7 linked regions of the Coturnix japonica genome follow. The protein of the gene in region 1 purifies or fractionates together with the protein of each later gene. This does not show direct contact. Links are inferred from orthologs where the notes say so. Each region holds a gene or a part of one and is shown in the gene's direction. Other genes may lie near its edges.

The links.
Region 2: the proteins of NPM1 (region 1) and PDCD11 purify together in Homo sapiens (affinity purification with mass spectrometry; 3 studies listed by BioGRID and IntAct, with this or other methods). This does not show direct contact. The link is inferred for Coturnix japonica from reciprocal best matches to the Homo sapiens genes NPM1 and PDCD11.
Region 3: the proteins of NPM1 (region 1) and TOP2A purify together in Homo sapiens (co-immunoprecipitation; 3 studies listed by BioGRID and IntAct, with this or other methods). This does not show direct contact. The link is inferred for Coturnix japonica from reciprocal best matches to the Homo sapiens genes NPM1 and TOP2A.
Region 4: the proteins of NPM1 (region 1) and PRKCZ purify together in Homo sapiens (affinity purification with mass spectrometry; 3 studies listed by BioGRID and IntAct, with this or other methods). This does not show direct contact. The link is inferred for Coturnix japonica from reciprocal best matches to the Homo sapiens genes NPM1 and PRKCZ.
Region 5: the proteins of NPM1 (region 1) and CENPA purify together in Homo sapiens (affinity purification with mass spectrometry; 4 studies listed by BioGRID and IntAct, with this or other methods). This does not show direct contact. The link is inferred for Coturnix japonica from reciprocal best matches to the Homo sapiens genes NPM1 and CENPA.
Region 6: the proteins of NPM1 (region 1) and CTCF purify together in Homo sapiens (affinity purification with mass spectrometry; 6 studies listed by BioGRID and IntAct, with this or other methods). This does not show direct contact. The link is inferred for Coturnix japonica from reciprocal best matches to the Homo sapiens genes NPM1 and CTCF.
Region 7: the proteins of NPM1 (region 1) and RPS20 purify together in Homo sapiens (affinity purification with mass spectrometry; 3 studies listed by BioGRID and IntAct, with this or other methods). This does not show direct contact. The link is inferred for Coturnix japonica from reciprocal best matches to the Homo sapiens genes NPM1 and RPS20.

The regions. Positions count from the first base shown.
Region 1 is NC_029528.1:13,578,415-13,581,945, forward strand, and holds part of NPM1 (nucleophosmin), read left to right. Parts: intron 1-519; coding exon 520-621; intron 622-2,267; coding exon 2,268-2,342; intron 2,343-3,309; coding exon 3,310-3,348; 3' UTR 3,349-3,531. UniProt on the Homo sapiens protein: Involved in diverse cellular processes such as ribosome biogenesis, centrosome duplication, protein chaperoning, histone assembly, cell proliferation, and regulation of tumor suppressors p53/TP53 and ARF.
Region 2 is NC_029521.1:20,696,280-20,699,266, forward strand, and holds the end of PDCD11 (protein RRP5 homolog), read left to right. Parts: coding exon 1-18; intron 19-303; coding exon 304-457; intron 458-808; coding exon 809-974; intron 975-1,570; coding exon 1,571-1,742; 3' UTR 1,743-2,470; downstream 2,471-2,987. UniProt on the Homo sapiens protein: Essential for the generation of mature 18S rRNA, specifically necessary for cleavages at sites A0, 1 and 2 of the 47S precursor. Directly interacts with U3 snoRNA. Involved in the biogenesis of rRNA.
Region 3 is NC_029542.1:4,094,054-4,097,497, reverse strand, and holds part of TOP2A (DNA topoisomerase 2-alpha), read left to right. Parts: intron 1-227; coding exon 228-423; intron 424-1,677; coding exon 1,678-1,769; intron 1,770-2,276; coding exon 2,277-2,417; intron 2,418-2,506; coding exon 2,507-2,590; intron 2,591-2,868; coding exon 2,869-3,078; intron 3,079-3,444. UniProt on the Homo sapiens protein: Key decatenating enzyme that alters DNA topology by binding to two double-stranded DNA molecules, generating a double-stranded break in one of the strands, passing the intact strand through the broken strand, and religating the broken strand.
Region 4 is NC_029536.1:1,556,739-1,560,966, reverse strand, and holds the start of PRKCZ (protein kinase C zeta type), read left to right. Parts: upstream 1-1,412; 5' UTR 1,413-1,472; intron 1,473-1,836; 5' UTR 1,837-1,921; coding exon 1,922-1,992; intron 1,993-3,520; coding exon 3,521-3,642; intron 3,643-4,228. UniProt on the Homo sapiens protein: Calcium- and diacylglycerol-independent serine/threonine-protein kinase that functions in phosphatidylinositol 3-kinase (PI3K) pathway and mitogen-activated protein (MAP) kinase cascade, and is involved in NF-kappa-B activation, mitogenic signaling, cell proliferation, cell polarity, inflammatory response and maintenance of long-term potentiation (LTP).
Region 5 is NC_029531.1:53,045-57,277, reverse strand, and holds the start of CENPA (histone H3-like centromeric protein A), read left to right. Parts: upstream 1-1,412; 5' UTR 1,413-1,460; coding exon 1,461-1,542; intron 1,543-1,626; coding exon 1,627-1,724; intron 1,725-4,233. UniProt on the Homo sapiens protein: Histone H3-like nucleosomal protein that is specifically found in centromeric nucleosomes. Replaces conventional H3 in the nucleosome core of centromeric chromatin that serves as an assembly site for the inner kinetochore.
Region 6 is NC_029526.1:1,462,692-1,466,691, reverse strand, and holds the start of CTCF (transcriptional repressor CTCF), read left to right. Parts: upstream 1-1,193; 5' UTR 1,194-1,242; intron 1,243-1,700; exon of another isoform or gene 1,701-1,937; intron 1,938-3,058; exon of another isoform or gene 3,059-3,126; intron 3,127-4,000.
Region 7 is NC_029517.1:100,555,794-100,560,118, reverse strand, and holds RPS20 (40S ribosomal protein S20), read left to right. Parts: upstream 1-1,510; 5' UTR 1,511-1,640; coding exon 1,641-1,643; intron 1,644-2,995; coding exon 2,996-3,095; intron 3,096-3,457; exon of another isoform or gene 3,458-3,522; intron 3,523-3,594; coding exon 3,595-3,668; intron 3,669-3,894; coding exon 3,895-4,077; 3' UTR 4,078-4,120; downstream 4,121-4,325. UniProt on the Homo sapiens protein: Component of the small ribosomal subunit. The ribosome is a large ribonucleoprotein complex responsible for the synthesis of proteins in the cell.

The DNA.
Region 1 (3,531 bases):
GCTGGTTTCCTTGCCTAGCAGAAACTTAATGTGTTAATCATCAAGTTAGCATGCTTCATATGCCTTCAGAAACCTGTTACTTCCTTGCTTCATATACCCCATGAAACTCAGTATTTGTCCTTTGTGAAGGTTAGATGTCTGGTAGTTTTTCTGCATCTACTCAAAGAAGGTCAATACACAAATTAGAGTGGGATGATGGGTACAAGCATGGCACCTGAAAAGCACAGTCAGTGCGTGCCTTTCCAAATTGTGAATCAAACTTGGCTGTAGTTGTAGAGGGAGCTCTAAATCAGGGAATGTTTGGGCTGGTTTCAGTTTCGTTTCTGCTTGAAGAAAAAGCAGTGTGGACACGTGCATAGAAACAGTTCAAGATAATTATGGTAATTATTAGCCACTTCTTGTATTGAAGATAAACTCTACAGTAGGTTTCCCAGTATTTCTGTTTTCAGAAAGCTTGTTTTATGCATAACTCTGTATGCAGCTTTGTATGTGATCTCTAACAAAATGAATAATTTTCAGACTCCAGATTCCAAGAAGGACAAAACTCTAACTCCAAAAACACCCAAAGTTCCTCTGACGTTAGAGGAGATCAAAGCAAAAATGCAAGCCTCCGTAGACAAGGTGAGTTTGTTAACTGTGATCAGCCTTATTTTTAACACTTCCAACAGCAGAAGAATGGTTTTGAGAACTGCATGTTACTGCTTGCTGTGCTCTTAACTCAGTGTATATTGATAAATTCGTATTGACACCCAGAAGTGAAAGAAAGATGATTTAGAATAAGCCTCTGCTTGTGAGAAAGTGAGGAAAAATATTTAACCAGTAGTAGTTATTAGTTTTGTATTTGCTGACTGAGTGTGAGGCTGCAGGATAAAAGTGGAGCACAGTAATCACTTGGGGTGATGTTTACTCTAGTGGTACAAAATAGTATTCATGACTTGTGTTTGGGGCAGCTAGAGTAAGGAGGAGTTCTTAGCATGCTTGGAATTGCTTTGTCCTCCAGCAGTATACAGAGTTGATATCCAGAGGCATGTAAGGCTCTGTAACTTCCAGAAGGGGGAGATAGATGCTTGTGATTAAAGCTGTGTTTGGATAGAAGTGCTCTGTCAGTTGCTTGAGTAAAAAGTGTGGTAAGAATCAGCAGTTCTTTTCCCATAAGCCAAGTCTGAATACCTGTGTGCTATGTAGGTTCACTGCAGACAAACCTTTACTTTAGAACAGCTGGAGGTGAGGACCTGACATCACCAGCTGTGGTTTTTTACTTCAGTAACTTAGAACTGCATAAAAATCATGTGTCCTTTGGTGACTGAACAATACGTTTGGAAAGCTGTTTTTGAATAAAGCTGAAACCTACAGTGATGACAGTAAATGGAGAGAGTTTTTTTTTTGTGATTTGAGATGAGCTGTTTCCTCCTTATGCTGACAAGTCACCCAGAGAATCACTATCATGGAATGGTTGGGATAGTTTCAGACCTTGTGCTGTGTGTGAGTAGGGATGTCTTCCATTTTGCAGTTGTTCCAAGCCCCATCCAGCCTGGCCTTGGATGCTTCCAGGCATTGGGGTATCTGTACCTTCTCTGAGCAACCTGTGAATGCTGATAGGATTAGGCTTATCTTGTGTTTAGATTCCTGAAGTTTTAAGGCAGTTTTGTCCCACTAATGCAAAATGCAGCAAAAATTATTTTAGTGTACAGAGGGGTGCAGAGTGAGCAAGGATGGATGGGTGGTGCTTCTATCAGGACAGACATGCGGATCCTTATGTGGTGAACCTGATGCTGACAAGATGTTTTTGAGGTCAGGTTAACCTCTTGGTACAGATGGGTGCTGGGGTGGTTCCTTGAGATTTCATGTTTTTTAAGATGGTGTTTATCTCTATGCAAAATGCAGTGTGGCGTTTAGCTGTAACAGCCAGTGAGTTAACAGCTTAAAGAACAGCTTCCATTGTTTTATTAATGTCATAAAGAAGGTTTTCTTTAGTAAATATTAAGCAGATATCAGCAAGCAAATGAAACCAGTAGATTGCAGGGGTAAGGCATCATCCAGACGACATGAGTGAAGATGCCTGTCCAGGCATTTCAGTGCAGGCACAGTGCTTTGAGAAATACCTGGGTGCCATAGAAAAGCAAACTTAAACCTTTAGCTTTTGGACCTTGCAAGGTGAGTTCAGTAAAATTCCACTTGCGTTGCAGAAGGTTGAAGCTTCAGCAGAGCTGTGGAGCGTATGCGGCTCGTTGCATCATTCCAATAAAGCTTGCTTTTTTTCAAAATAGGGTTGTTCCCTTCCGAAGCTGGAGCCCAAATTTGCCAACTATGTTAAGAATTGCTTCAGGACGGAGGACCAAAAGGTAACTGGATTTATTGAAACCTGATAAAACCCAAAGCCTTTTATAACCTAACCTAGGGATTCTTTTCCACTTCTTAATCTTTACAAGCTTTGGACTCTTTCAAAGGGTTACAAACCACGAACAATGCTTCAAATTAAATGGGAACAGTTTTAAGGGTTTAGTTGGCTAAGATGAGAAAGTTAATATTTTATTACATTTTTCCAGCTTTTATATGGTTGGTAAATTATCTCTTGCTTACCGAACCCACAGAATTTTCCTTTTGGCACCGTATTGGTGAAGGAAATGAGCTGTGGTTTTCCTTGCTGCTGAAGTTGGCCACCTAGGCCAGTCTGCCGCTCAGCCTTTTGTTGGGGAGGGTGTCTGGGAGGGGGAACTGTTTTGCAATTGAGATTATGGCTTTCTCGCCGCGTTTTCTCCCAAAGTCAACTGAACTCTTGTAAGAGGGCAAGCCAAAAGGTGGTATCAGGAAGCAAGCTTCTGTATTAGTTATTACTCAACTTGTACTGGGCTAAAAAGCGTCTTAGATTTCCCTACAGAAATTCCTGTAAGTTGAAAACTTCTCTTCCAGTGACAGAATTCCTTACGCTTTCTTGCTTCCTTCGGTGGTTCAGAGTAAACGTGTCTGATAGGCAAATTGATAGGTTCTTGAAAGAGTGCTTAAAAGCAGTTAGCCTCAGCTACTGGAGTGAGTCTGACATTAGCCAGGGTAGGCAGAGTTCAGCCAATATTTGCCTAGCTGGTCCACACCCATCCTCTCACTTACCTTCACTGGATTTTTATTATTGTGATTGAAGCGAATAACAGCCTTCTAGCAGAAGGATCCGATGTGTTGCTTTCAGCTTAGTTTCCTCTGAAAGAAATGTGGGGTTTTTTTGGTCATTGAATGTCAATATAGCAAAGCGGGTGAAAAATAAAAACCACAACAAGAAATAGATTTCAGTTTCTAACCATTTGTGTACACTTCCAGGTCATTCAAGCTCTCTGGCAATGGAGACAGACTCTGTAAGAGAACCATTTAAACAGTTTGTTAAAGTCTGCAGTCTTACTTCTGTAACCGTTATTTGGCTGTTCTTTTTACAAATGCTGAAAGAGCTTTCCCTACAGTGTCTGATAAATGTCATCCAGATTACCTTGCCAAGAATGTGTTGTCCAAAATGCCTGTTTAGTTTTTAAAAGACGGGACTCCACC
Region 2 (2,987 bases), on another chromosome or scaffold:
AGTTCTGAGAAGTACAAGGTGAGATTGTGCAAGCACTTCCCAGGCAAGTATCCTGTTCTGTCATGTCAGTAAACCACCAGTCCTGGCTGCATAAGCTTCTGGCTCTCAGATGTTAACCCTGTCCTGTTCCTAACTGGGATTAGTAATTGTGGTTGGCATCAGACGAAGAATTATTGATACTTACTTCTCACAGATGTTCAGAGATGCTTGGTCCAGGAACAAGAGTTTAATGAGCAATAGTCTAATGAGCTACAGGGCTTTGTTACAAGTCTGTTGTGATCTAACCCAACTTTGCCATTCCAGCAAGCAGAAGAATTGTACCACACAATGCTGAAGCGTTTCCGTCAGGAGAAATCAGTGTGGCTGAAATACGCCTCTTTCCTCCTGAAGCAAGGCCAGACTGAGGCTACACACAGGCTTTTGGAGCGTGCTCTCAAGGCTCTGCCCACCAAAGAACGTAAGCACTTGTTGCTAATCGTAACTTGGTCTATGTATTTGTGGGTATCCAGTAGATGGTCTGCCTTCTGATATCTCTGCATGTGACAGTGGTTATACTAAGTGAAAACTGCAGCCGGATAGTGTTGAATCTGCTTTCCTTGAGTGTAAGAGGAGGGGAAATTTCAGCCTGGTTATCAGTACTAAAGACTCTTGTAAAACAAAAAAAAATTGCAGCTCCTTCACTCTGACCCTCCACCTTAGACCAGAATCACTTTACACACTAGTCTCTGAACAGAGATGATGCTGTCTCTGTTCTCTTCATAGGAATGAGGGCTGCTGTGATCCCCTAATATGTCATTTCTTGTTCCAGATGTGGATGTCATTTCAAGGTTTGCACAGTTGGAGTTCCGTTTTGGTGACGCAGAACATGCCAAGGCCCTGTTTGAAAGTACTCTCAGCAGCTACCCAAAGCGAACAGATATCTGGTCCATCTACATGGACATCATGATCAAACAGGGCAGCCAGAAGGAAATACGGTAAGTTGTGCTATAAGCAACGGGGAAAGGGACAGTATAATGCTTGAAGTAACACCCGAAAAGAGCACAAGTGCCCTGCAACATGATATTGTTGAGTGCCTTCCAGAGCAAAGGAGAATTTGTATCTCATAGAGAAGAACAAAATCTTGTTCTCTCCAGGTCTGGGAAGACTCCAAGGAGATCTGCATGGCAGAGTTAGCAATTAATAGTAAGGAGTGACCTGCAGAACTAGAGTGCTTACAGTAAGGTTCAGCCCTTTTATCTCTTGTAACATGAAACTAAGGAGAATGGTCTCTTTTTTGCTGCGATGACAAAAGGAAGTTCAGCTTCTCACACTATAGATCCAGCTGCAGGCATTTCATGACCATTGGGTCAAATACAATGGCTGGATCTTAGTGTAAGTCATCCTGCAACTTTAGAGTTACGAGGAGGGTTTCTGCTTTGAGGCTTTCATCAGTTCTCATGAATCTGTTCCTTGAGGCATTAGATGGTGAATCTCCTGTGAGTTTCTGCTCTTTGCTCAGTGACAAGGTACAGGGCTTGTGTTGACTGCTGTCACCAACGTAGCAATCTGAATCACTTTGTTTTTTTTGCAGGGACATCTTTGAGAGGGTCATACACCTGAACTTAGCACCAAAGAAGATGAAATTCTTCTTTAAGCGCTACCTGGATTATGAGAAGAAATATGGTACAACAGAAACTGTCATGGCTGTTAAGACAGCAGCAATGGAGTATGTAGAGGCCAAGAGTTCCCTTGCTGACACCTAAACACAGCGCAAGCAAAAGCAGAGACTCCACTCTCCATGCAAAGTGGGAACTGAGAGGCATGGAGTTTCCATGGACAGTGTATTTCTGAAGAGTACTGGTCTGTGACCAAACTGAAGTAGAAGGATCAAACAATCTAAAGAAAAGATTTCATAAATGTGTGCAGCTTTGTCTGTTACAGATAACCTTTGTCTGTTGGTGACTAAAGACAGTTTTAAGTACAGATCGTTTTATAATCAGTGTAAACATCACACCCCTACCTGGTCTACTTTCCTATGGAAATAGTGCTGTTGCAATTCACTGTCTTTAGGTACAGTGATGTGTTACTGATTTCTCTGGCAAGATGGCAGAGAAGAATCTTGCCTTTCACTTTTTTTTGATACTTAGAAAGATTAACCCGAAGTCCTTTTGTGCTTCTAGTGATTGACAGTGCAACCCCAAATCGTGATGTAGATGAGGTTGGGAATTACCTTGTTCAAACCCCTGCTCAAAGCAGGGTCAGATAGAGTAGGTTGCCTGGGGCCACATCCAGTTTGGTTTTGATCTCCAAGGATGGAGATGCCACAGACTGTCTGCCAACCTATTCTGGTGTTTGTCTATGTTTACAGTAAAAAAAAAGGAAGAAAATACCTTTATTTTACATTCAAATGGAGTTTCTTGCACTTCAATATGTGCCCATTTTCTCTTGTGCTGTCCCAGGACACCACTAAGAATTGTTTGGTTCAACCTTTTTTATACTCTCCTGACAATTATTTATACACATGGATAAGATCTGGCTTGAGCCTTTCTTCAAACTGAAAGCTCCAGCTCTGTTTCTCTTTTGTGTGTGATGGATGCTCCAGTCCCGTTGTCATCTTCCACTCTGGTAAACTCAGTGATAGTATTTCTACAATAAGATGTGGGTGATGTGATGGTTTTTTATAGACAGAGAATTGAAAGTGAGGGGAAAAAGCATGGAATGCAAAGAGGTGATTATCCACTGTAGACACTAGCAAGTGGATGCCCAAGTTCAAAACAATGAACTTGAATAACCTCACTCATAATGTGCTCTGAACTTGAAACCAGAGTTCTGCAGGACTCAACACTTCTGCCTCTCTGAATGCCCAGCATGGGCAAGGCTGAGTAATTAAGCATTCAGTTAATTCCCAAATCCGATGGGATCTAAAAACAAGTTATTTTCCTGCTTATCCCCAGGGACAGCAGGGTGCTGGACCCATACTTAATGCTCTTCTAGAGAAGGAGGAAACT
Region 3 (3,444 bases), on another chromosome or scaffold:
AACAAATAGCTTTAAGATTGAAGTGATGTTAGCTCTGTGTTTTTAAGTTCTAAAATGGTCTCTGCTGCTGTGCTTGCAAGCTGAAATAATTTCTGAAACAACACTAAGGTTTAAAATGGGTTGGTTAATAAATAAGTTGACTGTAGGATCATGTCTGCGTTACAACTGACTTTCAGTGGTTTTGAAGATCAGTTTTATGCTCACAAAACCCATGTTCTTTCATCCAGGTTCTTTTCGACCATGTTGGTTTCCTCAAGAAGTACGAGTCTCCTCAGGACATCCTTAAAGAGTTCTTTGAGCTCAGGCTCCGGTACTATGGGTTAAGGAAAGAGTGGCTTATTGGGATGCTGGGTGCCGAGTCTGCAAAGCTGAGCAACCAGGCTCGATTCATCCTGGAGAAAATAGATGGCAAAATTGTGATCGGTACGTGCTGCTCTTGGTTCTTTGGCTTTTGAAACTGGGAGAATTAGGTGCTCTCTTGAGCTCTGTCAGCGCCCTCTCAGCCCCAGTCTGGCTATTCACAAAACACATCAGAGCTTATCTTTCCATTCTAGTAAGATAGAAGAGGAAAATGCTTCACGGAACATCCTCTGTAGTGTTATGCACATATAAATTAAAACAGAGCACTCTCAGAGGTTTTCTATTGTGTATTTGCACTACTTCAAAAGTATAAATGTAGGAAAAGAAGTGCTGGTGTGGGGGGCTGGGGGGGGTTCCCAGTTGGTTTGGGTTTTCTGTTCCCGTGCATTCTTAGGAGCCTGTATCTTCTCTGTGTTATCTTTATGAAACTGCAAAATATTCCAAATTGTGTTCTCAGTGAAGTGGAGTTTCAAAGTTAGAAGGCAGCCAAGCTCACAGCATCTGAGCATCATGAGCTAGAAAAAGAAACAGGTCTTTGTTTACAGCACTTGAACTTCTCAGCCAGCTCCAGCTCAGCCTACAAGGCAGTCTGTATTTCACTTGCATGTATGGAAGGCACAGCTGCACAATGGGTCATGGGATGCTCTGTGGTTCGTGTCTGAGGGCTGCCCAGTGTTCCTACAGTCTGTGTCTGTTTGACTCAAGAAGGGAAATCGTTCCCTTGCAATGCGTTTCCTTGGGTTGCTGCAATAAGCAGTTCCAAGGCTGACAGAGCTGGTTTCATTTGTATTTGTGTCTCACGGATGATTGCCTCTGCGACATCAGAAAGAAGAAAATTCCAGCTGACGCATTACCATTGGCTGGGCCATTTATAGAATAGATTTCCCAAGTGATGCCCAATGAGGCTCACACTATGCTGAAGCCTTGAAGTCACATCAGGGCTTTTTCCCCCACCTGCCTGTTATAAAACCATTCTGATCCCATCACGCTTCCTTTTTTTCCCCAAACTCAGAGTCTGTTTAGGGCAGGGGAAATGCATGTACGGAAATGATGGAGCAAATGTTTCGAGTGCTCCAGCAGGTGTTCCTGACAGCCCAGGAGAAATGCTGAGCTAACAAATCGCTCCTAAATAGCAAATTTTGGGTGTTATTTTAGGACCTGCCACGTGTCCCAGCTCGAATTAGGAAAGGCTGTTTTAGAGCTGTATAGGATGCTGAACTGTTTTAACTACTGGAGTCAAAATGTGAAGGTCATTTGTCTTTGCTGACAGGGACTGCAGTGGTCACTAACTGGCAATTCTGAAATGTCTCTTCACAGAAAACAAACCCAAGAAAGAACTGATTCAAGTTCTTATCCAAAGAGGATATGAATCAGATCCAGTGAAGGCCTGGAAGGAATTGCAAAACAAGGTAGCACTTCAGTCATCAATTCGTTATCAGTTCTTAGGAAGAAGCAGAAGCTGCTTTGCCATTTGGAGAATTCAAGAGCTGGTGTGCCTGATAGGGAAAGCGAGACAAAGAAATGTTCAGTCTCTCATTTGGAAGGCACTGAGGCAGAGTGGTGACTGATCCAGCAGTGGCAAAGTCCTGCTGCTTCCATTTCCAGTGCTCCTCAAGCGATCTGCTCTTCCTGAGCGACTTGTTGTAAAAGGGCAGCAAGGACGATGGCAATTGTTAAGCAGCCTGAGAAGAACTTGGTTGCTCAAGACAGAGGCCAAATAGGGCAGAGCAAAAGAGCTTTAAAGAATTCTTTGCAGTTGGTCTCCTCTGTGTGGTAGCAGCTTTCAGGCCATAATTCCTTCTGTATCCTTTTCAGAATTGTGCTTTAAGAGGGTCCAGGACACTGTGAGCACATGGCAGCCCTGTCATTGTATGTGGCTGTATTTGCTGACAATGTTTGATTAAATTCTCATTCAGGAGGAAGAAGAAGAAGGAGATGAGAGTGACCAGGAACCAGCTGCAGCTACGGGGCCGGATTTCAACTATCTTCTGAACATGCCCCTTTGGTACCTGACTAAGGAGAAGAAAGATGAGCTCTGCAAGCAGAGAGATAACAAAGTATGCTCCTTATTTTTCTGATGAAAGCATTCTATTTTTCTATGATGGGTTAAACTATGCGGCTCACCCACGATTCTCATTCACTTTAGGAAAAGGAGCTGGAAGACCTGAAGCGCAAGAGCCCCTCTGACCTGTGGAAAGAAGACCTTGCTGCCTTTGTTGAAGAGCTGGATGTACGTCAGTGCTCTGAACAGATGATTGGCTCCCTTGTAGCTTTATCCAGTTATTAACTGAATTCTTTGCCATACAAAGGAAACAACAGATGGAAATTTGTATGTCTTGCATTAGGTTCACTCCAATAGGAGTTAAAGCTTTCTTTGCCTTCCTAGGATAGGGTAGGAGTACTGTGCTGGGGGGCAGGCAGTCAAACCACCAAGGAGGCTGGGGTATTTTCCAGTAGGACACTGGCTTTTATTCTCATGGTTGTGTTACTTTATGTTTGATTCTGCAGGCGGTAGAAGCCAAGCAAATGCAGGATGAAATGGCAGGGATAACTGGCAAACCTTTAAAGGCAAAAGGAGGGAAACAAGGAGGGAAGCAAAAGGTGACAAAGGCACAGCTGGTGGAAGTGATGCCGTCACCTCATGGCATAAGGGTTGTTCCTAAGATCACTGCAGAAATGAAGGCGGAGGCAGAAAAGAGAACTAAAAAGAAGATAAAGGTAAGAAATATATGGATGCTCCAAACACTGTTATTAGATCTTCCCCAATACAGGCAGTCCTGTAGAAACACGTTCTTGTTAGCTGAACTTAACCGTGCCATTCAGCTTCCTGCAGCCTGAAATACAGAAATGGCTGTATTTCTGTATATATATCCACCTGTGCTGGCCTGCAGTCAGCTGCTGCTCCTTTCCTCTGGATGATTCCATCTAACAGCTTTTCCAGTTACATTTGCACTGTTGATTTCACTCACCCTGTTTGAGTTCTGCATCCCCAACACGCCCCGGGGCTGTGCCATCAGCACACAGGCAGTCCCAAGGCACGCTCAGGTGTGGCCATAAAGTTCCTGCTTGTGTTGTGCCTGACCT
Region 4 (4,228 bases), on another chromosome or scaffold:
CACAATGGGCATTATTACACTGATCTCTTGACTAAGTCTTTGAGTTCCACAGAAGCAAAAACCTTCTGAGAGACACAGAAACTGTCATCCTCCAATTAGGTATGTGCATCCAGCAGTACCCGTGTGCTGCTATTTACCACAGTTCCTGAGTCTTACATACTGAATTAAAGCATTCAACTTCATCTTACTCAGAAAACGAATAAAATTGTGCATCTCCTTTTATACGTGAAGGTAATTGGTTCATTCTGTACCCAGTTTCTCTAGCTATTTTCACTGCCTTGCAGGGTAAGGCAATGCTAAAATGGAACCGGTTGTCTAAATACAGCAGAGAAAATAGTGGTAGCAAGTTCCTACAGCGTATAGAGCATGAAGTAATCCATGGTGTTGGGGTTAACGTTATTAGACAACAGGATAAAAGCACTGACGTGGTGCACAGTGGCTGCTTATTCAGGGTAATGAGTGAGAAAGTGGCTGCATACATTATAAAGGCCATTCAGATTCATGTACAGGAGGGACTTTGGTACAGGAGCGTGGTGTAACCATTGGGGTTGGGAATAAAACTGAAGCTTCTGGATATTTCAGATGTTTTTGGGTGGTTTTTTCCCCATTTGAAAACCATTATCTATCTAAGGACAAAACCTTCATCAACTCTATTTTCATGGCATAAATAGAAATGAACTAAATCTGGTGTCAGTGGGAGCTGACATGGATGTGTCGTATTGATATCATGAAGGACATACAGACACATGAGGGCTGGACCTGGGGGTATCTCTATTGCTCCCATTAATTACAGCCCTGCCTTACAATCCTGGTGTGTCTGAGCGGGGTACAGATCAATGTGGGGTGTTAATACAGCATAGGGATACAGCAGCTCCTATAGAATGGACCCTATAGACCTTGCAGCCATTGAACCGAGAGATCAAACACATTATAAGGGAAATAAACCAACCCCAGGGCTTTCATCCCATAATGAAGTTCTCCATCTCAGCACTCATAAAGGGACCATTCTGTCCCATCAGCGCTTGACACGGTTCCTGATCCCACAGATAACGTAGAGAAAAACCAATTGAACTCAATGAGGCTGTGTTTTTTAATGCAAAAACTCCGCTTTTAAACACTCCCCCATTAACATAAGGGAGCTACTAACAGCAGGGCGGCTCGGCTCCACGTGAGCACAGCGCCCCCTAGCGGCCGCTCAGCGCCACACCTGCCAGCTCAACGCTTGCTTTTTTCTGATTGGCTGCAGGTGTTCGCCTTCCTCATCCATTCTGCTTTTTGATTGGTCACGATGACAACTCCTCTCCCAGGTAACGCTTCCTCGGCCTACGATTGGCGGCGGGGATTGATTCCAGGTGGGACGTAGCTCGCTATTGGCTGACAGGTAAAGCGGGAGGCATCTTATTGGCTGTGTGAGGGGTTAGTCCTCTTAGTCCGCCATGTTTGTCGCGGTGGCGCCGTTGCTACAGGAGCCGGTGGGTGGGAGGGGGGGGAAGGCGGGGAGACTGAGGGGGATATGGGGCGGTGTGTGGGGAGAGCGGCCCTATGAGGTACAAAGAGCGGCCCTATGAGGTACAGAACCGCCCTGTGAGGTACAGGGTGAGACTGGGCTGCGGGCTGGGTGGGGAACCGGGAGTTGGAGCTGGATCCGAACTTCAACACGGGACTTTAAACAACTTCAGGCCGGGACAGGCCGCAATAGGACTCGGTGGGATCCGGGAATGGGGCTGTGTGGTAAATAGGGCTGGGAAAACGGGGCGAACACGCTGAAAAGTCGAGGAGAAAACTTAGTTTCTCTGTTAGAACTGTGCTTCCTCTCTTCTTTCTACTTGTACACAGTAGGTTCGATGCGTTCTGCTTCGGAACGGCGAGTTTTATGGCTTAAAGGAGAGGATCTGTAACGTCGGTGTGATAAACACGGACCATGCCCAGCAGGATGGGCTCCAAAGTGCATCTGGACAAAGATAGCATCAGGGTGAAGGCGCACTACAGCGGGTGAGTCCGTGTGTGTTCTCTATTGTATCCTGTTGTATCCCTCTGTTGTGTCCTGTTGTATCTCTCTCTTGTATCCCACCTAACTTTGATGCCTGTCAAACAAGAGTCTGATCTGCTAACAGAGTAACCAAGTCGTTGTAGTTAACATCTGGTAATTAGAGTTATTAAAATCCCCTCCAGATTCCCACAATGTGCTGCTGGAGGAAGGACATAAGTGGGGAAAACGTGCACAAATGGTGTAAAATTACTTATTTAGATAAAAATGAGAAGTTGAAGAATCTTAATTGCTCCTGATGCTCACGGTGGAGTCATTTGAAGCAGTGCAAGCAGCTCGAGGATCTATTTGTACTAAATTAAACACCTGAAGTTTAAACAAACGCGTTTTCCTGCTGTGAATAAATACCAGAAGTAAACTCTTGCATGTTGTCTGTTAATCTGCCTTTTATTTTTGCTGTCTCCTTCCCCCTCTTTCCCCTCCCAGCAGTTTGAGTAGTGCAATGAAATGTTAACACGCAGCTGCTTCCGTTATCTCTGCAGTGCTTGTTTTGGCAGCTCTGATTTGAGACAATAAATCAAGTCATGGTCCTTATGGCTTCAGCCACTTGTTGACAGAGTCAGGAAGCCTCACTTTATGGCTTCAGCATGAAGTTTGGTTTTTAGATTTAACCTAATTGATTTGCTGCCACAACGAGGACCTTGTGAGCTGGTTGCTTTGATCTGCCTCGTTTTTATGTGATGTTTTAAGTCATTTGAGGAGTTAAATGTTTGGCTGAAGTAAATCTTCAGGCTTGAAGTGTTTAGCTTGAAATGACTGGCATGTGTTGGCAGTAGCCTCAATAATCTTCTCTGATACTTTCCTGCCCAAATAAGCAAATGTGGCTACTGTAGTTTTTAATACTACGCTGGGAAAAAAGGGCTTCTAATTAAATGTAATTATGAAATTAATTCCACCAAACTTAATTGGGAATGAGGTGCTTTCTTGTTGAGTTTACTTACCAGGTCAATGCCGAGTAACTCAGCATTTGAGTGTAGAATTGAGTGGAGTTTTGGCCTCTTCCACATCAAGCTGGAAAGCTTCAGAATTAGGGCTGAGTTCATTCAGGAAGCTGCTAAAAGAATTGTATAGAAATTAATAGTATGCTAAATAAAATACCAATAGGAATCAATAGTAAATGATGGTATCACTTGGGAATCTGAGTTAAATCTAAGCAAGAGGAAGTTATAAAACTATGTTCAGTCTATCTCTGGGTTCCAGGGCTGCAGGTATGTGTGTTTCTGGGTGTGGTGCTTCATACCATCATGTAATATAAGCCTATAAATACACAGCAGAAGGGAAACACGTGTCCTTCTCATTGCGTTATGTCAGTCACTTGAGTAATCATTATTCATATGTTAGAGGGAGCGTTTGATATGAAGAATGCTGATTGTGTAAGTGTGGTGTTGCAGGTTGGAATCCATAGATGGAATTGTTGGAATACTTGGGTTTATGCAGGTATCTCTGACAGAAGTTTGATTTCATGTCATGCAGGGACATCCTGATAACAAACCTGGATGCATCAATAAACTATGATGAGCTTTGTAATGAAGTGCGTGAGATGTGTTATCTGCAACAGGAGCAGCCAATTACCCTCAAGTGGATTGATGACGAAGGTACAGTAAATACTGCTTGGTAGTTCTCATTTTTGGTCTGTTATGGTACAAACAGGCACTGAACAAACTTAAATTAAATTAAAATTAAATTAAACTTAAAAGCCAGCCATTGTAGTGGGGCTGCTTTTGTTTCAGCTTCCTGCTTTATAGAACAGGGTTACATCCCCTGCTGATTACATATAAAACATGACTCAGAATATCAGGATTATACTGTAACCAATTCAAATCTGCAAAGTGAAGGCTCTGAAATTGAATTGTTTTGTTATTACTTGCTTGGACACTGAATGCCAAGGAACACATTGACCTCAGACACTTGTGGTACTAATGCTGTACCCCTCAAAATTCTCCATTCAGCAAGAGACTTGTTGTGTCTTCTGAACTGTGATTTCCCTCTGGGATGTGCTGTTGGGAAGTAATGCAGTTGTGGTATCAGAAGACCGTTTAACTTCCCAGATTTCTTGTTTTTTGTGTAAGATGGATGTTGAGAATTCCCATTATAAGTGATTTTGTTCTGTGGCTGTGCTGGATTGTTAATATCCTGTTGGTGTAAAACAATCATGGTATCATTAAGGTTGGAAAAGGCCTC
Region 5 (4,233 bases), on another chromosome or scaffold:
TTCACTGCAGTCATCCTCAGGTATTCTGAATGCAGCAGGCAAGGCTGTGTGGCTGTGTTTACATTCACAGCTGTGGGCACATGCAGCTGGGAGGGGTGATGTACTGGCCTGCCATCATGCGGGGCACATCTACATCATGCTGCCGTGCAGCAGAGGAGATCATAGAATCATAGGTTCTCCCATCCTAACTGCAGCACTGCACGTGCCCAGTGTGCAGCATAATACTGGGAAGACAGAACGAGGGAAGATCAAATGTAATTCGTTTGGCTGTGAAGGAAAGACCCTACAACACACCTACAGTGCACAGACGAGCAACAGCCCATGAATCAGGAACAGATTCAGCTCTCTGCCTCTCCTGACCAGTGTCCTCTGATGCTTTAGGAAGGGCAGAAGCAGCTCGGGAGCTTGGGGCTTTCCAGTTATTATTTTCTTCTTAAAGAGCAGTTCTCACTTATTTCCTCATGGTGATCTCTCCGCAAATCATGTAGATTTTAATGTGTTTTCCCTTTTTCTGGAAGGAGGGAATCAGTGCTGTGCCACAGAATCACAGAATGACCCAGGTTGGAAGGGACCTCAAGGATCATGTAGTTCCAACCCCCCTGCCTAGCAGGGCCACCAAACATACACCTTTACTAGATCAGGTTGCCCAGGAGACCCTATAGATACCCATAGAGACCCCATAGACCCCATAGATCCCCATAGAGACCGCATAGATCCCATAGATCCCCATAGAGACCCCATAGACCCCGTAGATCCCCATAGAGACCCCATAGATCCCCATAGAGACCCCATAGACCCCATAGATCCCCATAGAGACCCCATAGACCCCATAGATCCCCATAGAGACCCCATAGATCCCCATAGAGACCCCATAGACCCCATAGAGACCCCACAGATCAGGTTGCCCATGACCCTGTCCAACCTGGCCTTGAACACCTCCAAGGACGGGGCATCCACAACCTCCCTGGGCAGCCTGTTCCAGGGCCTAACCACTCTCCTAGTGAAGAACTTCCCCCTAACATCCAACCTAAATCTTCCCTCTTTTAACTTAAAGCCATTTCCCCGTGTCCTGCTATTGTCAGCCCTTTCCAAGAGTTTATTCCCCTCCTGGGGGTAAGTTCCCTTTAGGTATTGAAAGGCTGCAATGAGGTCACCCCGCAACCTTCTCTTCTCTGTGCCAGAGGTGCACAAGCAGCACAATTGGGATCATATTGTGGTTAGATTGGATCACACTGGGTCATAAAAGGCCCATCCGGTCAAAAAAGATCACAATGGGTTATAAATGGGTTGAACTGGGATCAGAACGGCTTTAATCAACGCACAGTCCTCCGAGCCACCATAGAGTCTACCCCCCTCCCTCCCGCAGCCTAGAGCGGCTCAGCGCCATTTCCGGCTTCCGAGCGCTGAGCGGATGTGACGTCACTCCAGGGCGCGCGATTCGAATTCCGGCGGCCGCCATTATGCCGCGGCCTAAACCGCACTCCCCGCGGCGCCGGAGCCGCCCCCCCACAGCTCCCCCCCCGACCCCCCGGAGACCCCGCGGTGAGTGCAGCCGGCGATGGGGGGGGTGGGATTGAGAGGGGGGTGTTGTTTGTTTTCTATCCCGTCTTTTCGCCTTTATTTTAGTCCGCCGGTATCGGCCCGGTCAGAGAGCGCTGAAGGAGATCCGCCGCTATCAGAGCAGCACCGCGTTGCTGCTGCGCCGACGGCCCTTCGCTCGTGTGGTAACGGGACGGGCCCGAAACGGAACCCACCCCCATAACACATAACGGGGACCACAAAAGTGGGGACCCCCCCCGAAATAGGGACCCCCCCAGAAATGGAGACCCCCCCCCAATTGTAGGGACCCCAGCCCCAAAGTGAGGACCCCCCCCCCAAAAAATACCCCTGAAATGGGGACCCCCCAAAAAATAGGACCCCCCCAAAAGTGGGGACCCCCCCCAAAAATAGGGACCCCCTCAGAACTGGAGATCCCCCCCCCAATAGTAGGGACCCCAGCCCCAAAGTGAGGACCCCCCCAAAAGATGGGACCCCCTCAGAAGTGTGGACCCCCCCAAATGTAGGGACCCCCTAAAAGTGGGGACCCCCTCCAAAAATAGGGGCCCCTTCAGAACTGGAGACCACCCCCCAATAGTAGGGACCCCAGCCCCAAAGTGAGGACCCCCCCCCAAAACTAGGGACCCCAGCCCAAAGTGGGGACCCCCTCCCAAAAGTAGGGATCCCCCCAGAAGTGGAGACCCTACCCCCCAATAGTAGGGACCCCAGCCCCAAAGTGGACCTCCCCCAAAAGAATGGGACATCCCGCAGTGGGGACCCCCCCCAAATGTAATGGACCCCCCCAATAATTAGGGACCCAGCCCCAAAAGTGAGCGACCCCCCAAAGTGTTGGGACTCTCCCCCCAGAAGAGTGGAGACCCACTCCAGAAGTAGTGGACCCTCCAGCTCCAAAGTGGGACCCCCCCAAAAGTAGGGACCCCCCGCCAGAAGTGGAGGATCCCCCCCCAATAGTCTAGGGACCCCACCGCCAAAGTGAGGACCTCCCCAAAAGATGGAGACCCCTGAAGTGGGGACCCTCAGCCCAACAGTGGAGACTCCCCCCAAAAGTAGGGACCCCCCCACTAAAAGTGGATACCCCCTCCCCATATATAATAGGAGACCGGCCAGCCCCAAGTGGGAACCCCCCAAAAAATGGGACCACTCCCCGAAGTGGGGACCCCCTCCCAAAAGTAGGGACCCCCCCAGAAGTGGAGACCCTACCCCCCAATAGTAGGGACCCCAGCCCCAAAGTAGGGAACCCCTTAAAAGTGGGGACCCCCCCCAAAATTGGGGACCCCCCCAAATGTTGGGACCCCCTCAAATGTTGGGACCCCCCCAGAAGTGGAGACCCTACCCCCAAATAGTAGGGACCCTAGCCCCAAAGTGAGGACCCACCCCAAAAGATGGGACCCCAGCCCCAAAGTGGGAACACCCCAAAAGATGGGACCCCCTCAGAAGTGTGGACCCCCCCAAATGTAGGGACCCCCCCCAAAAATAGGGGCCCCCTCAGGACTGGAGACCACCCCCCAATAGTAGGGACCCCAGCCCTAAAGTGAGGACCCCCCTCCAAAAGATGGGACACCCCCGAAGTGGGGACACCCAAAAAAGTAGGGACCTCCAACCAAAGTGGGGACCCCCTCCCAAAAGTAGGGACCCCCCCAGAAGTGGAGACCCTACCCCCCAATAGTAGGGACCCCAGCCCCAAAGTGAGGACGCCCCCAAAAGATGGGACACCCCCGAAGTGGGGACCCCCCCCAAATGTAGGGACCTCCCCAAAAGTGGGGACCCCCCCAAAAATAGGGACCCACCCAGAATTAAAGACCACCCTCCAATAGTAGGAACCCCAGCCCCAAAGTGAGGACCCCACCCAAAAGTAGGGACCCCCCCAAAAGTAGGGACCCACCCAAAAGTAGGGACCCACCCCCGAAGTGGGGAACCCAGCCCAAAGTGGGGACTCCTCCCCAAAAGTAGGGACCCCCCCAAAAGTAGGGACTCCCCCCAGAAGTGGAGACCCCACCCCAATATTAGGGACCCCAGCCCCAAAGTGAGGACCCCCCCAAAAGATGGGACACCCCTGAAGTGGGGACTCCAGCCCAAAGTGGGGACTCCCCCACAAAAGTAGGGACCCCCAAAAAAGTAGGGACTTCCCAAAAGTGGAGACCCACCCCAGAAGTAGGAACCCCCCCCAAAAGTAGGGACCCCCCCATAAAAGTGGAGACCCCCCCCCAATAGTAGGGACCCCAGCCCCAAAGTGGGAACCCCCCAAAAATGGGACACCCCTGAAATGGGGACCCCCCCAAAAGCAGGGACCCCCCAAAAGTGGGGACCCCTCCCAAAAATAGGGACCCCCCAGAAATGGAGACCCCCCCCAATAGTAGGGACCCCAGCCCCAAAGTGGGAACCCCCCAAAAGATGGGACACCCCCGAAGTGGGGACCCCAGCCCAAAGTGGGGACTCCCATCCAAAAGTAGGGACCCCTATAAAAGTAGGGACCCCCCCAAAAATAGGGACCCCCCCAGAAGTGGAGACCCCCCCCCGAATAGTAGGGACCCCAGCCCCAAAGTGGGAACCCTCCAAAAGATGGGACACCCCCGAAGTGGGGACCCCAGCCCAAAGTGGCGATTCCCCCCCAAAAGTGGGGACCCCCAAAAAAGTAGGGACCCCCCTAAAAGTGGGGACCCACCCCAGAAGTAGGGA
Region 6 (4,000 bases), on another chromosome or scaffold:
GCCCAATGTGTCAGCACTTCAAACCCCTCTCACGGATGTGCTGCTCAGCAGCACCAATGACTGTTGCAGCCACTTGCTTTTTTGCAGGAGCTGCAGCCCGTGGGAAGGTGTCTGTGTCATGGTTACATTACTCACATGCTCTGAGAAGCTTTTTCCTTCACCCCATTTACTGCTGTTTCCCTTGTAAATAAAGGAGTGCACAGCCTTTTTGTACCAGCAAATAACAACCAGCCAACACATCCTCTCTTTGGGGAGCATTAGGGCTGGCAAAGCTCAGGACATCACATTCAGTGACCCCAAGAACACCAAGCAGAACAACCCCAAGGAGCCGCTGCCTCTTTGGGGCATCACAAGCTGTGACCTGAGTCTCAAGCCTGAGAAATGAGCCAGATTTTGATGCCTGAGCAACATCTGCCTCTGGGTGTGTAACGTGGAGGGTGATGTTCAGGATGCTGAATGCATTGCAAAGGATCCCATGCGAATCAGCTCCAAAGCGCCTGTGATGGAGGGACCCGAGGCCCAGGGTTCAGCCGTACCCAGCACACAGCGGTGGATGCTTTCAGGCATCTCTGCCAAGCAAAGGCCAGGAGAACGTGTCTCTGCTTCCTCACACAAAGGACATGCAGCACCTGCCATAGGACAGCTCCCAGCAAGAGGCAGATGGAACATGAGCAGCCAGTTACTCCCGACGTGGTGTGTGTGAGTACTTAGAGCCCTTGCAGGGCAGGGCCGTGCTGGGTCCCAACCCATCTCGCTCTGTGGAGAACTCCGCACTCCCTCAGGGCGGGGCGGGGCGCGGCCTCCCCTCAGCGCGACGTGACCCCGCCCCCACGTGACGCACGCACGCACACACGCACGCGAGGTGACGCCGCGGCCGCAGGCCCGCGTTTGAAGTTGGCGCGCGCCCCGCCCCGCCCCTCCCTCCCATCATGCCCCGCGCGCTGCCGCTTCCCCGCGCGCGCCGTCCCCTCCCCCCCCCTTTCCTCTCCCTCCCCCCCCCGCTCCAGCCGGCGGTCCGCGGCAGCCGCGCTCGCGCATGCGCACTCCGCCCCGCCCGCCGCCATTTTGTGTCCGAAGCGACTGTGGAGCGATTAAACCTCGAGCTGGTGCTGGGCGCGAGCGGCCGGGCCGCGGCGGGGCGCGACGGGAAAGGCGGCTCGGCGGGGCCCGGGCCGGGCTGCGGGGCGGCGTGCGGCGGGGCCTCGGCGCCGGGAGCGGAGCCCGGCGGGGGCGCGGGCGCAGGTAAGCGGTGAGCGGGGGGTTTGCAGTCGCTTTCTCCGGCCTCTAGGTGTCACGATGGGGCTCCGCGCCGGCTGGGGCCCCGCAGCGGCCGCCGCCGGGGAAGCAGGGGGCTTTGTCTCCCTCTATCGTCCCCAGCGCGGCCCGCGCCTGCCCGCTGCCACCGCCGCCGTTCCCCACAGCGCGGCGCTGGGCCGCGGCCCGCCCGGCCCCTGGCGGCCGCCTATTTTCCTCCCTTTGTCTCCCCGCCGCCCCACCGGGGCCCGCCGGCCGCCCCCCTCCCGCCACGCGAACCGCCGCCCCCCCCCTCCCCCCCCTTCCCTCCTTTCTCCTTCCCTTTCCCTCCCTCCTCCCCTCCCTCCCCGCCCCGCGTTCCGCGCCGGCCCGCTCCCCCCGTTCGGCCGCTCTTGCTTTTCCCCCCCCCATACCCCCGCCCCCGCTTCCTCCTCCCCATCTCCCACCTCCTCGGGGCTCTCTCTTTTCTCCCTCCTCCAGCTCCTCGTGGGGTTTCGGAGCCGGAGCGGAGCGTTGCGGCGGTTCTGTTGGCCCGGCCCGGCCCGCAGCCCCTTCCTGCCGCCACCTCGCTGCGCTGCCGCCGTGTGCGCTGCGGAGGGAGAGGCGCTGCGAGGCGCAGAGCGGGACTCGAGCTCCCTCTGCAAGGCAGGCTGAGCAGCGCCATGCAGCGCCGGCCCTGGCACGGCTGGGGGGCGCCCGCTCTCGCCTCGCTGCCCTCCCGCTTCCCCCCACCCCCCCCCTCCTTGCAGGCCTCGGCTCCGAGCTAGAAAACGTACTGCAAAATGTGATCCTCCACCCCCCCCAACCCGTGGATATCGCTGCTTTGAATCGTACAAAAGGGGCGATAGCACACAATTCTGCGCCCTGCATCAACTTGATGTTTCCTGCCGTGCTTAGAGCTCCAGATGCCATCAGTCTGCCTTCATTTTGTTCCTTGTGGCCGTCCCCAGGACTCAGCCCTTAGCACTGCTGCTGAGAGCACACCCGCTTTCCTGTTGCTGACTTCCTATTTTTTACCCGGTCTTTTGCTCCCCCCCCCCCCCCCCCCCCCCTCCACTCCCTGTTTGCTGCCAGTTGCTAATGAACCCCAGAGGTGTTGTTAACAGTGCCTGAGCTGCTCCGTGTGTACAGCCTTGAGATTTGGTTCCGTGCAGGAAGTGTTTAAGTGCTTTCTCAGGTCCCACGCTTTGCTCGTGCTGAGCCTGTTGAACTGGTGGCTGTCTTTTGGGCATGAGGAGTGGCTCTGAATTCTTCCTTCAGTCCCATTTTACCTTCTATGTTAGTGCAGGAGAAACCATGAGGACCAAAGAAGGTCTTGAGCATATGAACCAAGCAATGCTTTCTTTTTTTTCCATAGGATGGTCGTTTTTCTTACTTTCATTTTGCTTTTCTCTTTGGACTGCGTTTTGCAAGTCCTTTAAGGGCTGCACTCCTGTTTTGGAGAGCTCCTTGAATGCCTTTGGATGGGGGCTGTCACCCCAATGGCAGGTATGGCAGCACCTCCAAACTATCAGACACCATAATGTAAGAAGGACTCTGTCTCTATGTCCCCTTGCTGCCCTATGCAATTTCAGTTGGATACAGTTATTCTCTTATTAGCGGCACAGCTGTCCAGGGAGGTGGTGGAGCCCCCAACCTTAAGGTGGTCCAGAACCACGGGGATATGGCACTGAGGGACGTGATGCTGTCAGTGTGGATGGATTGAGGTTGGACGTGGTGATCTTAGTGGTCTTTTTGAACCTTAATGATTCTATGTTTCTAACTCAGTATTAATATCTTCTGTATTTATAAGGAAGATGCAGCGAATGATTTCCTTAACGCTCACGAAGCTCCTCGCGGGATATTTTTGAGGCACGACGTCAGAGTCAAAAGGTGCAGAATTGCACTTGCTCTACTCCCCGGTGGCCCTGCAGCTGAACTAACATGGCTCAGGGAGTTTGCTGAGCTGTCACTCCAGTGCTGAGCCTGCTGCAGCTCCTGCCCACGCCGTCAGCAAGGGAAAGAGCTAATCCAGGCACAGCTCCTGGTGCTGGCAGCCTGTGCCTTGGCTGTGAGCTGGGATGTGTGTTGCTACCAGGCTTTGTGGCTGCGGGTCAGTAGCTACCTGATACTTCAGTCTGTAAAGGCCAGAAGCTGACCTGTGTTGTTTGTATACTATTAATCACTTAAGAATTTCTTCCCTGTAGTGCTTAATATCCTGCTTTTCTCCTGATGGTTTTGGAAGGGAGGTGGGGAGTGTTGCTGGGCTCTTTGCTCTTTGAAGAGCCAGCGTGTTCCTTGCCCTTATGCTCTGTACCTGGGCAGATTGATCACTGCTTGTGGGATCGAGTTGTGCTCAGCTCTTCCTGCTCTGTTTTTGGTTTGTTGGTTATTTCTGAGGGGAAAAGAAAAAAACCAAAAGCACACAAAGCCATAACCTGTAATTTGGGCAGGGAGAGAACAAGGCCAAAGTTACTGTTGCTGTGCAAATGAATGAGGGGCATCACAAGTACTGGAGAAACCAGCACTGAACATTGTATAAAGGAAGAAAAAGCAAATTCCTTCCATGCTGCTGCTTTCTCCTCTGTGTGTCTGCAAGGGGGGTTGTTCCCTGGCCTTGGATCTGGCAGAGGTGTAGCTGAGAGCCCACCAACAAGCCATGCATTGAGGTTCAGGGCTTCTCCTGCCCTTATTATAGTCCTAAAAGCTTTGCACACAAATTGATTCTACCTTTGGCTACTTTTGCTTCTCTTACGTAGTGTTTAGT
Region 7 (4,325 bases), on another chromosome or scaffold:
CAAACCATCCAGGAAGCTGTGACGGGATGATGGCTTCTGTACTCGTATTTATTGAAGCTGCTTTATCAGAATGGAGCATCGAGTTTAAAACTGATCCTTTAGTAAGTGAGAGGCTATGAAGTGCAAGTGCAGGGGCTGTGACTGCACAGCAAGCCCACAACTGAGCATTGCAATGCAACATCAGCACACAAAAGTTGTCTAAGTTGCATGAAGCGTAAGGATCACATGAAGACCCATGAAATGTTTGATAAGGGAAAACACAAAAACATAAGGGCAGGGTGCCAGGTGAAACTAAGCTTAGATCAAGGTGCTAAGCTGTCTCTCTTCAATAATCACAATGATTACAGAAAAGACTGAGCAGACGTGCGGGAAGCAGCAGCAAAACGCTTTCTTTGTGGCTGGCCGCTATCTGAGAGAGCAATGAGTGCTCTCAAGAGATGCCAATAAAACCAGGAAACAAATTCACAGAATCACAGAATGACCTGGATTGGAGACCTCAAGGATCATGTAGTTCCAACCCCCCTGCCTGCCAGGGCCACAACATACACATTTACTAGATCAGGTTTGCCCAGGGCCCTGTCCAACCTTGTCTCTTGAACACCTTCAAGGCGGGGCATCCACAACCACCCTGGGCAAGCTTGTTCCCAAGAGCCTAACCACTCTTCTAGTGAAGAAATCTCCCCCTAACATCCAACCTAAATCTCCTCTTTTAACTTAAAACCATATTCCCCGTGTCCTGCATTGTCGAGCCCTTTTGAAGAGTTTACTCCTCTCTGGGAGTAAGTTCCCTTCATATTGAAAGGCTGCAATGAGGTACCCCGCAACCTTCTTTTCTCCAGGCTGAACAAGCAACTCCCTCAGCCTGTCCTCATAGGGGAGTGCTCCAGCCCCCTGATCATCTTCGTGGCCCTTTCTTGGACCCTTTCCCAAAATCTCTATGTCTTTTTTGTACTGAAGGTCACACCGGACACAGTACTCCAGATGGGGCCTCACAGAGCAAAGGTAGAGAGGGCCCAATCACCTCTCCTATCCCTGACTGCCACCCTCTCCTGATGGAGCCCAGGATCCATATGCTTTCCAGGCGCCAGAGGCGCAATGCTGGCTCATGTTGAGGTCTTTGGTCCATCAGGACCCCGGCGCAGACTGACTCTTAAGGGCCACTCCTCCCAGCCTGCTTACGGTGCCTGGGGTTCTTTCCGGCCCAAGTGCTAAAAACCATTGCATTTGGGCCGCTGTTGAACTCATTAGGTTCACCCGAGCCCAGCTTTCCAGCCTGTCAAGGTCCCTCTGAATGGCATAAATTCAAGTCCCTAAGCCCGGCCATGAACGAAAGAAACACTCCCGCATCGCCACTCATCCAGCAGCACCAACGAGCTTCCAGGCCGTGCTGCTACATCTCCCTCACCAACCCCACATAACACAGCAGACCAGCACATCCACCCCCGCCTCTTCCGGGCGCCGGCCCCGGTGTGAAAGGTCCCGAAGCGCCCGGATGGAGGCGGTGCCTATACAACCTATATAACCCGCCCGCCGCCGCAGCTCCCTCCTCTCGCCGCCTCCTCCTGGCTCACCGCTGTTCGCTGGGCCTCGCGTCGCGCCCCGCCCGGGAATAAGTCGGCCAGGAAGGCCCCGCTGCCGCCATGGTGAGGCGGGGGGCGACGGAGCGGGGGGGAACGGGTGGGGGGCAGCGCCGCGTGGATCCGCCGGGCCCTGCCGGCCGTGTGCCGCCCGCTGGGCCTGGGCCCGGGCCCGAAGCGCGGCGCTGGGGCGGGGCGAGGCCGCGTGTGGCCGCGGAGCGCTGCGGGGCGGCCGTGTGCGATCGGCCCCGTGGGCCGCCTTGGGGAGAGCTCGGGCTCTAGCGCCTGGCTTTAGTGGGGGCTCTTACCCGAGGAGCTTACCCGAGGGTCGGACGGAGAAACGCCGCGCTTCTTGTTGTTTCTTTCTTTTTTAATGCTTCTTTACTGTGTGTTTTCCCATCCTTTTATAGGTTCGCTTTAATACAGCCCCTCACAAACGTTTAATTGCACTGATCTCTTCAGATCAGTGCCAGAAGTAGCACGGTCAGGCTTTCTGGTCAGATGTATCTCTTTGCTCAAAGTTGTGCCCGTTTAGCTGATATCCTCGTTAGGATTTATAGTGGGGCTGTTAGGGTGGTAGAATTTTACAGGCGTTTGGATACGAGTCACACAGGGGTTGGAAGGCACCTCTGGAGGCCATCTGGCCCTGCTCTCTTTAAAGCAGGTTCCCAAGAGTAGGTCACACAGGTGAGTTTTGAGTATCTGCAGAGATGGAGGCTCTGCAGCCCCACTGGGCAGCCTGTTCTGCTGCTCCATTGCTCTGACAGTAACAAAGTTCTTCCTTAAGTTTGTATGAAACTTCCTGTGTTCTGGTTTTGGACCATGCACTTTTTTCTGTTGCTGCATACCACCATAGAGTCATCTTGCCCAATAAACTTGGTTCCTGCGCTTCAGATATTCATAAATAGCGATGAGATCCCCTCTCAGTCTTCCCAGGGATGATCAGTCCCAAGGTCTCTCTGCATTTCCTCTTAAGGGAGGCACTTCAGGCCTCTAATCACCTTTGTATCCTCCCACTGGTCTCTCTTCAATAGTTCCCCGCATTTCTTGGAACTGAAGAGCCCACAGCTGGACACAGTATTCCAGATGCAGCCTCACCAGGGTAGACTAGTAGGGAAGGACAAGAATCAGTCATGATCAGTGCCTGGACAGGCTGCTTTATATGTAGGCAAATCAGGCAGAGGTGTTACCGAAGCTTTCCACCCTGCAAAGCAGTTACTCTTCACACTGCTTCTCACAGCAATGACTGCTCTCATCATCTTTTATTACCACTGTTTGGACAGTGCCGTTGTACCTGCCCGATCACATCAAGCATATAACATAGTCCCAAAGCCAAATTGTACTTCACATTCCACAAACCCGTTTTCGGTTGTGTTAGTTGGTGCTGATTGTAGCGTTTGATCTCTCTCACGTTTCAGGCGTTTAAAGATACTGGCAAGGCACCTGTGGAGCAAGAGGTAGCAATTCATCGCATCAGAATTACTTTGACCAGTCGCAATGTCAAATCACTTGAGAAGGGTGAGTGATACTTCATTTTCTTTTAAACTAAAGTAGCACTAAGAGAGAGCTTCTGTCCCTCTGTTTTTCTGGGGATGTTACTGTTGGAGTGTTGAGAACCCAAAGGCATTGGTTTTCTTCATTGATACTTTGTCATGCTTGTCATTAAGTAGTCAGCAGCTCAACGTTCAGTAAGGCATTAATAAATTCCATTTAGGAACTGTGTTGGCAACATTTAAATTGAATATTATAAATGTAAAAGCAATACTTGTTGCCTGATTTTTGGGTTGCTGGCGGCTCAAATATGGGTTAAGTGGTACTAACAACTTTCTATTGCTGTTGTGATTGTTTTTCTGCTGTAAGTCTTTTTATGTCAATGCTGTTGGCTGTGAGGATAAACCTAAACCTGAATTGCAGTGATCATTTAATACGCTATTCTGAGCCAACGTATCTTGTAAAAGTCTCTGTTTAAAACAACAAACAAAAGATCCACAAGCCTAAAACCATTCTGTGTTTTCAGTCTGTGCTGACTTGATCAGAGGCGCTAAGGAGAAAAACCTGAAAGTGAAAGGACCTGTGCGCATGCCCACCAAGGTATTTAAACCTGATAAAAACCATGTTGTGTTTCTAAAATGTCTATAAAACAAAAAAAAAAAAAAAGCTGAGATAAAAAGCAATACTACTAAATGGAGGGTTGTTTTATAAAGACGTAATGGCATATCTACGTTCTTTGATGCTTTGAGAACCGTTGCGTGATAAAAGTAGAAAGGGCTTCTTGTGTACATCAGCTTGATACCCTGTGTTTATGGTTTTGCTTCAGACTCTGCGCATCACTACCAGGAAGACACCTTGTGGTGAAGGCTCCAAGACCTGGGATCGTTTCCAAATGCGGATCCATAAGCGACTCATTGACTTGCACAGCCCTTCTGAGATCGTGAAGCAGATCACTTCCATCAGCATTGAGCCAGGCGTAGAAGTTGAAGTTACTATTGCCGATGCCTAAATCGTAGTCATCTACTTTGAATAAAGCTGGCTTACAAATTTTCTTTGCTGTCTTTTTTTGTATTTATGCCAAGAGTCTGTTGTGGTTCTCTGATTTTCCTCAATAAGGACATAACCAAAATGCTAGATGGGAAGATCGCATTTTCCTGACATTATTTTTCAGGAAGGACACATGAATTGTGAGATGATGAAATTTGGGCATCGTAATTTGATTAGAGATTGGTGACTATATGGATGTGCAGCACTTAA